Coturnix japonica: one gene and its partner. The protein of the gene in region 1 interacts with the protein of each later gene in a pairwise test. Links are inferred from orthologs where the notes say so. Each region holds a gene or a part of one and is shown on either strand. Other genes may lie near its edges.

Region 1 (6,431 bases):
TTCAAGGACTCCAGGAAAAGAGGTTAGAATGCAAGAAACACTGGTGCTGAGGGACATTAAAGCGGTGGTGAGGAATTCAAAAAGCTTTCATTTTAGGACAGTTTGGCCAGAATGAAACGATTTGTTTATAATAACAGCCTGAGACTAAAGATACAGATTTGCAAAAGCACTTAGACCTTTCCACAGGAAAAGAAACTCTATAGAACCCAAAGCACAAAAACTAAGCAATAAGCATTAGCAAAAATGTCAAGGCTAGGCTGGATAGGGCCCTGGGCAACCTGATCTACTGCCTGATTTAGCGGCTGTCAATCCCACCCACAGCAGGGGAGCTGGAACTAAATGATCTTTAAGGTTCCTTCCAATCCATTCTGTGATTCTATGAAAAAGATTACATCTTTATTTTCCACAGAACAATCTCCCAAGTTCTATATAAAAGTAAATGAACAACTGTGGTATAAGGAATCCCAAAGCCCATGGATTACGGCTGACCACAGTTACACTTCACCATACGATCCATATCTCATTCTTTAAGCTATTCTTACCCTGTATTGTTGTATTGTTTCCGTGAGAAAGAGTACTAGTGTTGCTACTGAAACCTATATTTGAAATTGTCTATGGGAATTCTTAAGACTTTTTAAAAACATCTTCAGATTTGATGAAAGCTATATTTAGTTCTCCAAGATTAAAACCTAATTAACAGAGTTATTAATTTGTAAGCTCTGAAAACAGCTGCCCTGCACACGAGGGAGAACCCACACGCGCAGGCATAGGTAACAGGCAGCACAGGAAATGAGTCCCACTGACAGCAGCAGGAGCTGAGATCAAGCCATGGCACGTGCTTCATACTGAGGAGTGCTCAGTGTGTTACTCACGTGGACCAGTAACAACAGAGCCTGCAGCACCAGGCTAAATATATTATAAATAAATTGGAGAAACATTTCTCCAAAGGCGGATAAATCATTACAAAGTACATTATAAGTATGAAAAAGTACTTTAAAAAAAAAAAAAAACAAACAAAAAACCAAAGGGAGGGTTTGTTTACATCAAAAAGGTTTACTTGATATGGCACTGGTCCAGAGGACAGTCTGCAAATCCCTCCAAATAGAAAGGTAGCTTTTGCAAGCAAATACATTGCTTTCAATCATACAGCTTAGGCCAGCTTCTATAGGTTATTACAGCAATGAGATTTTTTAATAGTTCATCTCAGACTACTCACAGTGACTTCCCCTGTCAAGGAAATGCAACTGAAGGCTTTTTGCCAGCCTGCCTATTAGGAGAAATATGGAAAAAATATTTTTAACTAACCTAGCTATGCCAGAATGCTTTTTTTTTTCCTTGGCCACACCGTGCTATTAACTGTACACAGTGTTCAAGGCAGCTTTTGCTGAGCCAGCTCACTGCAGAAGAACAACTTTCTCTGACAGACAAGAAGCAGCTGAGACTTGGAGGAGAACCAACCCATCCCACTGTGCTCGACCAACTTTCTAGAGGACTTTCCTGAGAATGTTATGATATTAGCTGTTACTTTTCTACTCCAGCAATTTTGATCAGATTAATTACACTTAGAATAATCTTATGGATCTTCAACTCAGTGACACGTGTTTATGAAGCTAGGGCATCTTTGTGCTTTTACTTTTTTTTTTTTGAGCCCACATTTGTATTTTCTCCACACACAAACCTCCACCTCTAGGAATAGTCCCTTCTGTTTAGCACAGACCCTTATTTCTTCTTGGTAGAAAAGATTCTGTTTTTCTGTGCTCTACATGCACAAAAGCCTGAGCTGTCAGAGACAGATGGAAGGCTATTTTGGGCCTCCCAATAGCTGTGGGGATTCTCTAGAAGACACACTGCTTACATCAGGAAGTCTGTAGAGCTTCATTGTTCTTTGTAGAGTCATGTTTCTACTCAAATGTGAAAACTTCACCTCCACCAGTTTTCTGGGATTCAGTGATCGATGCCAATACCTGGAAATGAAATTCATGAGATTAGATGGTGTTTTAAGTGTCAGCTTTACCTGTATCCATTTCTCTAATTTCCTGCTTTATTTATTTATTTATTTATTTCCTAGCCAGCCTGCACTGACCTGATGTCTGTAGGAGGCTTGAACAACAAACATACAAACAAAAAAACAACAAAGAAGGAAAAGCTATACCTAAGCAGTAGCTGTTAAACAAGCCAGCAATCACCGCATTTTGAGTCTAATCTCCTTAAGGAATGAGTAACCCCAGGGCTAAACATTCTACTACCTGCCATATCGCAACCAATCTTTTCTTACTTACAAGGTAACATTTATTTTATTGATTACTTGTCAAAGCTTAAGAACAGAGGTCCCTCTTTACTCAGTGTCTGAGCAGTCTGGTGAAGGGACTCCTCTGTGCAGCCCATAGTGCACACAACATCCCTGGTTACTCTAACACAGCGTGGCTTTCTTGCCATCCTCACCTACAAAAGGTTACAGAATCTTTGGTGTTGATACGTACAAGTGAAATTTAAACCAAATAGCTCATACATGAGTATTCTGTCCTCAGACGGATATCACTGACACAGGACTTTTCCCAGCAGAAATAAAATCCACTCCAAGCAAATGAAATCATACTTCACAACATACAACTATTTTCATGTGATAGTTCTCCCGTCTTCATTAAATTCCTTTCTCCAGAAAAGACGAAAGCATTGAGAAAAGCAGATCACACAATTCCCAGAAATGCTCTGCCATCTTTGGCAACCAACCAGGTCAACAGGGAAACGTCCCAGCAGGAAAACAGGCCACTTGAAAAAACACAGGTATACAATGCTGCCATTGCTAGCATGGCTTTCACCAGAAGCTCAACAAAAACCTGATTAATCTATTCAAGGTACAATAAACAAACTCAGTTTTAAATTTCATCCCATGCTCCCCTGCACTTCTCTGGGGGAAGAAGTAGAGAAGGATGGATGGATGGATGGATGGATGGATGGATGGATGGATGAGGGAGAGTTGGTGTGCAGTTATATATAAAAATTATATTAGTCTCCTTATGTTGAATCTCTTTTGTCCGTCGGAGTAACTGTTAAGAGATCTCCCAGTCTTTATCTCGACCCACGTGCTTTTTTCCATCATATTTCCTCTCCCTGTCTTTTTGGGAAGGGAGAGTGAGAAAGCAGCATGGCAACGCAATTACCTACCAGCATAAAATTACCACAATAGCCAATTACACAGCATGCACTTCAAATGACTGCTACAGGAACCAATGCTATTATGAACATCACCTAGGTTACCTGCAAGTGGCCACAGGCTTTGGCAGCACCACTCCTGCTGTGTAAACAGCCTGAAAGATCCCCTCCAGGTTTACTCTTCTGGTTATTTCCCGGATCAGTACAGGTGCCACCCGTTTAGATCTCAGTTTCTTATGAACACACAGAAAATTGATTTCTACCATCTTCTTCACACTAAAAGGACATTATAGTGAGAAAATGAATTTTAAAAAACCCCGAACTATTGACAAAAACAAGCAGTGCAAGCTGCATATTCTCTATTATATAACATTAGTTTTCCATGTTGTAACAGAAGAATCTGATGCAAAAATAAATCAGCCCGTGTCAAATTACATCTGCAACAAAGATTAATCTGACATTGTGACACGAGTGGAAAACTGTATGAAATGCAAAGCAGCGTCTAAGCTGTTTGCAGTGCTGCATTCCCTACTGTTAATGAGCCTCTCTGTAATTTCTCCATTGTAATGGATGCCAGTTTTAAGATTTGTAACATGCCACTTGAAAATATTATGTTGTACAGATGTAAAAGTAACGCTGTGTTTTACCTGTCATAAACACGAATGTTTGCAGGGATGGCACTTATGAATCCTACCAGCTTTTTGTTTGAAGACACTCTAACCCCACAGTGCCACTGCGGTAACCAGCCCGGAGGACGCAGAGCCCTAGAAACGATGACAGAAATAATTACAAATTACTGCCTAAGAAGATGTAATAAAAACACCCTTCTTTGCACTCCAGCCAGAACAGAATGTAGCACTTGCCACTCACCACAGAAGAAATTCAGGGGAATAATCAAACCTAAACATATTATCATCATCTTCTACATAATTCTCATTTAACAGTGTGTATAACTCCTTCAGCTGAAAACAAAAAACAAAACACAAAGAAAAAGAAAAGGTTTATCCACACACATCAAGCAGAATATATTTCAGGGATTTTAGGTACGTGTAATAAATGTTTTACTTACAACTTCAGCATTGCTAAGATCCAACGTGTCCCACATAAAACCTTGTGGCAAAGAATATGGCTCTAGGCGGACATTGTCCTTATCTGGCTCAATTGCACCGTGTGACGTTATGACTTCATCTTTAGAAGGAAGAAAAAGCAAGGGAGAAAAGAAGAGAAAAAAAGAGTACAGTTACACTGCTGACTTCCCCATTAATTCTCAAGAACATCTCAGTTCTTACAGACTGCATTCAGACCAACTACTACTTCATCACAGTATGTTCAGCCAGCCACACAACTACTCCATCCAGTATTTCATAATACGGGACAGCAGTTTATCAGCACATGCATGGCGCTTGGCCAGCTATGAAATCCGTGGTTTCATTATGAGAAATATGTTCCTACAGCTAATGAGCGACGGCTCCTGTTTACAACTGCCTTGAACAGGTCTGAGCTCAGCAGTACTCCTAAGGACCAGCAGTATTGCAAAACCAGGGCTTGTAAGGAATGCCAGAAAAATAGGAAATGTGTCTTAAAATCCTACATGAAAGAGTATTTCCCCTATCCTGATGCACAGCTCTAGTTCATCAGTATATAACAACTGGCTATAAACAGAAATTGCTCCTCTTCCATGGAGTGGCACCTGCCAAACATGGCATGTACTTTTCCCAAACGATGCCCACTCCTGACAAGTAGTTACATCTCACTGCCCCATTTGGAAGGTCAGAACTACCAGCATCTTTACATAAATTTTGGCAGTATCAGCTGTCTCAATATACAGCAAATGACCTACTATTTTACGGTAACAGGTCTCTTGCTAACAGCGTTAATTATAAGGCAGATGGATTCTGAAGTTAATTTAATGCAAAGATTCCTACACCTACTTCTTGAATCAACACATTTGTTTTCCAAGTGAACATAACCTGTGTATCAAACAGTGAAGACTTCCCTTTACGTTCATCCAGCAGATTAAGCTAAAAAAGATAATAAAATTAAACAACAGACTCAAGAAGCAATTCAGAAAAACTGCTGAACAGAATCTCTGCCAGCCAACTCCGCACAGTGTAGTTCTTCTCAACAGCCCTAACAATCCATCTGCAGAGTGGGGAGCACTTTGCTCTGGACTTCTCCATGCAAGGAAATCAGGGGAAACACGATCACTGAAGACTGAGCTAGAGGCCTGCACTGATGTGAAACACCGGCCATCAGACAGATGGAGAAAAGTGTTCCTGTGCTTTACACTATAACTGATTTCTGCCTATTCTGTACCAGCCTCCAATGCCATGGAGGCAAACTTCCAGAACAGAACAATGGCAGCTCCTGCTTTACTTGTGGGGTCCCCAGGTTTCTTTGGCACAACAGAGCTAGAACAGCTTGACTTGAAAAAAAAAATTGAAAGGAGAAGATGACACAGAAATAAGTCAGAAAAAAAAACACAAAAAAAGCAACATAAGAGTCAGCAACTGTCTTCTCCAAAAGGGACTCAGAACATGTGATTCCAAGGTAGTGCACTCTGTGGAAGAAACAGGTGAACGAAGAGCCATGGAAGAGTTCAGGCATGAGGGAAGTGTCATTAACCACTTAAAGCTGCATGGAAACACTGCAGCCTGCACCAGGAGAGTCACCATCACTGTGACTGCAAGTTGATCCCTCCCACCCAACCTTCCCACCCCCCAAAAAACCAAAACACCAAAAAACAGGGAAAATAAATAGAACAAAAGTTTATTCCCATCATCACTTGATAGATTTTATTTGCCCTGAAATGTTCTCTTTATGTTTTGTCGATTAAGGGTTCAGACCTAAAATATACAAAGGAATGTTACTGCAACAGGAGTTTTGTAGAGAACATCAGAATGAGATTCATTAGCACTGTGCTTTGTTGCATATTAGTTTGAAGGGCAATGACTCACCTACAGAATATCAATAATTCCATATAAACAACACAAAAGATTAAGGAACTCCACCACATTTAGTCCGACTTAAAGCCACACAACTGGTGTACATTCTTTCCAGATCACACGCCCAAGCCCAATTCAACTTACTAAGTTTCGGTACAGGTTGTGTATCCCAAAACTGGTATTTACGTTTGGTAGCCTCATCAATGTTCTTTGCTGGACCTTGGCATGCAGAGAGCAGCTCCATTGCTCTCTGGATATCTTGAAGCTTCTGCATTGGAATGGCTGGATTCTGCATGTGGAGACAAAGAGAAGAGGGTACCATTACTTCAGATA
Region 2 (6,431 bases), on another chromosome or scaffold:
CATCCTTGCAGCATCGTATTCCCTATCACAGGGTGGCAGGGACCCTCTCTACAAGAGCACTCCACCTGATGTGGAAGTAAGAAGTAGAATCTCAGTGTACTCACTACATAACAAAAAGCATTGCTAAGAAACTTAAGTTTAAAACTATCACAGAATCATAGAATGGCCTGAGTTGAAAAGGACCTCAATGCTCATATAGTTTAAACCCCACCGCTGTGTGTAGGGTGGTCAACCACTACACCAGGCTGCCCAAAGCCACATCCAGCTCATGACTGCTTGCATCGAAGCAGGCAAACTAAAATCTGTAGTCCTGGTTATATGTATGTTAAGACAGCTAAATAGCTACAAAGTCTACCTGTTTCCCAGGTCTTCCTTAAAAAAACAGTAACAATTTAATGATAAACAAATTGAACGCACAATCTACAACTCTCCGCACAGCTTGGCTATCACCTATACAGGTTGAAATCAGCCTGCACAGCTGTTACTTTACATCAACATGTGTCTGCTTCTCTAAATAACACAGCAGAAGCATTAAGAGCCACAGATTGAGCTGTCCCAAAGCACTTCCCGTATGACTATTTCATTAGGCAGTGAAAGGCTCAGACCAAGGCGAATAATTTTGCATGGGAAAGCACTGCAGCAGTAGCCTTGCCCAGTGCAATCAGACAGCAGGGTACTCTCTCCGTGCAATTCAAACACACAACAGTTGTTGCAGAAGTTACTTGAGAAGATGCATTTCCCCTGCCTCTGAAGTATTTAATAAAAACAGCATAAAAATAGCCCCGGTGCACTAACCCTGCCTCTTAAATCTTCCGTGCTTTGCTTGGGTAACCGCTGCCAGCTTGGCCGGCTTCTGCAGCAGTTTCTCAAGCCAACAGCATATCAATTTGCTCAGCTCCAAGTCACAGTGTGTTCACAAACAAAGCACAGGACAGGGATTTGTCTCAGCTAGACCCAACCTCAGCAGACAAACGGATGGGAATGAATTTCACATCAATTAGCCAGTGCAGAGAAAGAGGAGAACAAAGCCAACCTCAATGGAAACGCCACAGCAGCAAGCTCTACTTCTAGGTACAACGTTTGCAGTTGTAAAGTCTGTACACCAACGACAGCCAATCTAACCTGTAGCAAGTGTTTTATTACTGGTAATTAAGACAAGGTACATTCATAATGGCTCCATCCCCTTCCTGCAATTGCAAAATCAGTGAAGGGGAGTGCAGTTGTTGCGGCTGTACAGGTGAACTTCAGCTCTGAGGTGGAAGCCAAGCACTTTCAGAGCCTTGAGACGTTGAGGGAAACCCCCCTGATGGCAGTAAGCATGCACACCCAGCAATGCTTCTCCAAATCCATATCCCACCTGTCCTTGCCTTGGCACTAGTTTGGCACTTGCAGTCTCAAAAGTTGGGGCTAAGTGAGCATCATTCCAGACACCTTTTATTAGCGAGTTTTGGTAAGGGTTTAAATACAGACAGATATTAGGAGGAAGTTTTTTGCACAGAGGGTGATGACGCACTGGAACAGGTTGCCCAAGGAGGCTGTGGATGCCCCATCCCTGCAGGCATTCAAGGCCAGGCTGGATGCGGCTCTGGGCAGCCTGGGCTGCTGGTTGGTGACCCTGCACATAGCAGGGGGTTGGAACTGGATGGTCATTGTGGTCCTTTTGAACCCAGGCTGTTCTATGATTCTATGATTGTTTATTGGGGCATCTCCAACAGTTACAACAAAAGCTCCACCTACAGTCACCCCGGATGCTGGCACAGATGATGGAAGCAACCCACCTATGCCCCTGAACAACTTCTGGTTAGTTAACAGCTGAAGAAATACTGCTCTCACAAAGGCAGCAAACAATCCATGCTGCTGCAGTGTGCCTGATGCCCTGCAGTGACTCCCCAGCCACAGTCCATCCCTTATTCCATTAGTCCTGCTGACACACGCAAGAGAAACTGGTTGTTTTAGACTGCACTACTTACTACTAAGTGAATGCAAGCTATTCTGTTGAACTCTGGGCAATTTAGATACAGTAAATGGAAGTGTGTACATGATTACTGTCATTAGATTCTTTGCTTAATTCTAAATTGAAGTTTATTATATCTGCACTGTTAGCAGGTATGCCAGCTTGACTGCTGTCCATGAAGATTTTCATTTCTTTCTTTAATCTAGGGGAGGAGACAGCTCGTGCTTCAGGAGTTGCCAAGGGCATCTCTGCCTAAAGCCTACAGACTCCTACTGCTCCTTCTGAAATCCTTTTGCTCCTTTTATTCTCATTTTCTCCCTTTGCTAACCAGACACAGTACAAATACATCGCTCGGAATAAAACCAAAGCACCTTAGAGCTGCAGGCAGGTCATTCCTGTTGCAGGAGCGGCTGTGCTGAGAGTCTTTACAGCTGAGCACGAGGCTGCTCGGTGCTCCAGCAGATTTTGTTCCATAACAAGTTAACTCTTTGTACAGACCCATGCTGCCATTTTATATTTATATGCGTTTAAATCAAAAGATCGACAGAGTGAGTTACGTTCAGAGGGCTGGGAAAGGCATCTTCTGGATATGGCAGGATGTATTTACACTGTAACACTAAAACAGTTAATAAAAATGACAAGATGATGTTTGCATACACTTCGCCCTACCAAAGGCTCGCTCTGGGTTATCTCCTTCCTAAAACAGGTTCTAAAACTTCAATCAACTTGCACGATATTGGAAAATGAGATGCCCTCCAGACTCTGAAGGATGCATTTGGATACTAAACAGCTCTGGCGATGGGTTCAGCCCCCTCAAAACAGCATCGAACAAATATTTCTCTCAGATTTCTCTTCTAGCTTCTCTAATTTATTTATTTATTTAACCAATTAAAATCAAGTCTAACGAAGCCAGCTCCTGCTAAAAAAGGGGCTCCTATTTCTCTGAGCGCTTGCTACCTATACCTATGAGGGAATTCTGCACCATCTTTCTATTGACTTTCCACAGGTAGCCAGGACTGCAGAGGTGTCAGATGTTTGCTGCTGCAGCTCCATGCTCTGCGAGTGCCTGCTGGCTCTGAAACAGGCCCTCTCACACTATGGACACATGGGTATATTTCTCAAAGAGGATGTCACTCCACACCTTTCAGATCTGGCTCCAAATGTTTACAAGGAGAGAACAACAATATTTCAGCCACTGTTCACATATATTCTTTAAACAATTTCTTTGGCTGAAAACATGAACATTCGCTGCTAAGACTCAAAAGAAGGAATCAGCTTCTGAACCTTGCAAAGCATGAAAACATCTCATCAATGGAAATGAAGCAAAGATCACATGATGTTATTGTGCACTGATTACAAGCGTGTGATCTCAAAAATAGGATTTTATTAATGAAAGGCTTCTGGCCGTGTTGGGAATGACTGCCCTGGGCACTCACTTCTGCAACCTGTGGCTGACAGAAGGACAAATGGAGCTGAGTAACAGCCCTGCTGCAGTGACTGCATGGCATATGACAGTTTCAGTTCATTGAATTCACAATGCAGAATTCCAGCTCTGATCGTGAACACCTTCCCTCTCATCTGAAAATTAATTCACACGAATTCCTGATTAATAATAAAAGACCCTGCCATCAGCATTCAGAGCCCCAGCCGGGGCTGTCATGGCTCAGAGGGCAGAAATCTGCTTAGAGCTACAGGAGAACCCAACTGAATTTGTGGCGTCTCAGTCTATGAATGTGTAAGCACTTCATCTGTTCACCAAAACACAATGTGCTGGAAAGCAGCGGGCAAAAGTAGCTGTACGTACTATTGACCAAGAGCAGGGCTAGGTGGCAGTATGCAAGCACTGAAACCAGAGCAATAAAGCTGCTACATCTCCCGAATGAGAAACTGTCCACTTCACATGTCTTTTTTTACCAAGAAAATCACCAGACCATTCGCGTGCATTTGTCTTTTTCTTCAGGTTTCTGGCAGTATCTCTATTGTTTCCCTGTAGGAGAAATGGTGCTTCAATCCTGAAACGATGCCCCTAGAAAGGGGGGTATTCAGCACATCATTCTGCAAGTTGCAGCTCTTCTTACTGAGAATAACAGGAAGTTTCTGACATGCTCCAAAATCACAGTACATCCACACTGCTGGGAATCCAGTGGAAAGCTGCTCTTTTCGAACACATTACACTCATCTCCACGATGAAGTGTTGGTCCAACTCCTGCAGTACTTTATAACAAGTCTAATCAGAAAATTCTGGGAAGGTTTAATACTGTTAACAAACTAAACAATTAAAAGACTGATTTTCTGTATCTTTTTTACCCATACCTCCTCATCTGCGACATTCACGTCCACTTTTTTCGACTGAATGGCTTTGGTTACATAGTCAATGTTGTTTTCTCTGCAGTAATCAAAAATGTTCTTGTCCTCTTCTCTATTCAGGAAACAAAAGCAAAAGAAATAGCACATTACTGCGCCGCACAAAGGCCACGTGCATTCTTACGCTCTAACATTGCTACAAACATTTCAATAGCACCACTGGAGTGGAACAGGCTCCTGGGATGATGCATGCAGAACAGTATGTTTTTCCCCCATGTAGGACTCAGAAATTCCTGCTTCCTAGAAACAAAGCTTGTTTTTAACAACACTATGCCAGGGCAGAAGTCCTACTCCTGTCAGCTCTCACAAGAAGCTTATAAAGTTGCCCAACACAAAACCCGCTCAGTCCTGGTATATATCACTGCAGTCTGCCAGAGGATAAAGGGCTAAAGCTCTGCTTCTCCCTGCCACGCAAACAAACTTGTAACTGCCATCTCCTTGACTCAGACCAAAGGCCTTTTCAATGCCATATATCTCATCGGGCACTAATGGAGGTTTGGAGGAAAGAGCAGAAGAAACAGGACAAGCGCAAAGCAGCCGCCCCTTGGTTAGATCCTCAGCTTCTGAAACTCGGTAGCTTAAGGATTTCTGTAGCTGTATCCAGATGAAGATATTTCTCACATTCTTCCAGACTCTTTTTCAAACACTTTTCTACTTTTTAACCCATCTGTACTCCTAGCCTTGTTAAAGGAAAGCTCTACAGCTCCACATTCTGGGCATGAAGGGGTGAAAAGTGAACAGATACTTTCTTTTGGTGATTTTAAAACAGATGACCTTATTGGGTACCCTTAGGTAATCTGTGCTTATTCACTTACATCACACCACCTCCAGACCTCTCACATGACCACACAAGTCACCTTCTCTCCAGATGCTCCTTTCAAACTATGTTGTTGTCTCCTCGGTCATAAACTCCTACTTTTGCTGATGTTCCCCTTTCATCCCCTTCTTCAATCTCTCTCCTTACTTTCTGAGATGGGTTGACCCAAATCTGTATTACATACGCAGGTGCACAGATTTATACAGTGGGGTAAAAGTATCTTCATTCAGCTCTCCATCCTTTTCCTTATGGTTCTGAGCACTTGCTTCACCAATTGCCCAGAAGTGCTGTAGATCCAGCAAATGGTATGAAGCTCTTTTGTGTCTTACGAATCCATATGTAGGTCTTAACTTCATTTGAAATTGTTTGCTTCACTGGTAATAATAAGTTTTAGCATGTCTGAAGCCAGAATACTGTTTCTAGCTCCAGAAGAAGCTATTGTTGCATATGGTAACCTTTGAATCACGGCCTGAACCACTGATTGAGCACCTGGGGAGGGGACTGGCCAGCCCTGGGAGCACAGGTGAAAGCAATTCAGCTGCATGACCAGAAAGAGCGGAGCCTGGCTGCACCACTCTTAGACCTTATTTAAGAGCTGACTGCCATTGGGGAGGGATCTCTTTCTGGAGATTCCTCTTTTGTGGAGTTTCCCTTGCAAGCTTAGATCTTCAGAGACAGGTAAGCACTTTTCCATTGCTCTAATTCCTTTGTTACTGGATTTCCTGTATCACTGTTCTATCACATTGATCTTTCTGATTGTTATATGGTGTAATTGCAACACTTGCCACAGCCCAGCAAGTAGGGCTAAGGGAGCATGTGTTGGTCCCATGCAGGCCCTACTTGCTGCTCTAAACCAAGGCTGTGGTCATAGCAGGAGGTTGAAACAAGATGATCATTGTGGTCCTTTTCAACCCAGGCTGTCCTATGATCTCCCCAACTCTCTGCACGCAAGCAGTCCTCTGGCACATCTGAGCTGCACATTTCCAGGTGAGAGCTGTGGGCCGTATGAGATCACATACTTCATTTGCAGGCCCAAGGATGCTACAGAAGCCTTCCAATTCCTTAACTGCTCTCTCAAGGACTCATTCATTGGAGGTCTTGTCTGTATGCTGTGCAGGCTCCTGGGGAACAAATCACTGCGTGCTTTAAATGCAATTACTTTGAATTCTGGAGGAAAAAAAGGATCTCATGGTGGGATTGGAAAAGGCAAAAGCTTATGCTGCTCAAGATGGGGCTTGACAGCTTCATGATGGAGGTTATGAGGCATGCCTGCCCCCTCTAACAAGGGCTGATTTG

Evidence for each region.
Region 2: the proteins of NMT2 (region 1) and ACBD6 interact in binary tests that used the Homo sapiens proteins (3 or more experiments, as listed by UniProt). The link is inferred for Coturnix japonica from reciprocal best matches to the Homo sapiens genes NMT2 and ACBD6.

Annotation. Positions count from the first base shown.
Region 1 is NC_029517.1:18,754,612-18,761,042, reverse strand, and holds part of NMT2 (glycylpeptide N-tetradecanoyltransferase 2), read right to left. Parts: intron 6,388-6,431; coding exon 6,243-6,387; intron 4,342-6,242; coding exon 4,223-4,341; intron 4,116-4,222; coding exon 4,024-4,115; intron 3,918-4,023; coding exon 3,801-3,917; intron 3,430-3,800; coding exon 3,259-3,429; intron 1,965-3,258; coding exon 1,856-1,964; intron 1-1,855.
Region 2 is NC_029523.1:5,774,484-5,780,914, forward strand, and holds part of ACBD6 (acyl-CoA-binding domain-containing protein 6), read right to left. Parts: exon of another isoform or gene 6,052-6,431; intron 5,814-6,051; exon of another isoform or gene 5,737-5,813; intron 4,374-5,736; coding exon 4,268-4,373; intron 1-4,267. UniProt on the Homo sapiens protein: Binds long-chain acyl-coenzyme A molecules with a strong preference for unsaturated C18:1-CoA, lower affinity for unsaturated C20:4-CoA, and very weak affinity for saturated C16:0-CoA. Does not bind fatty acids. Plays a role in protein N-myristoylation.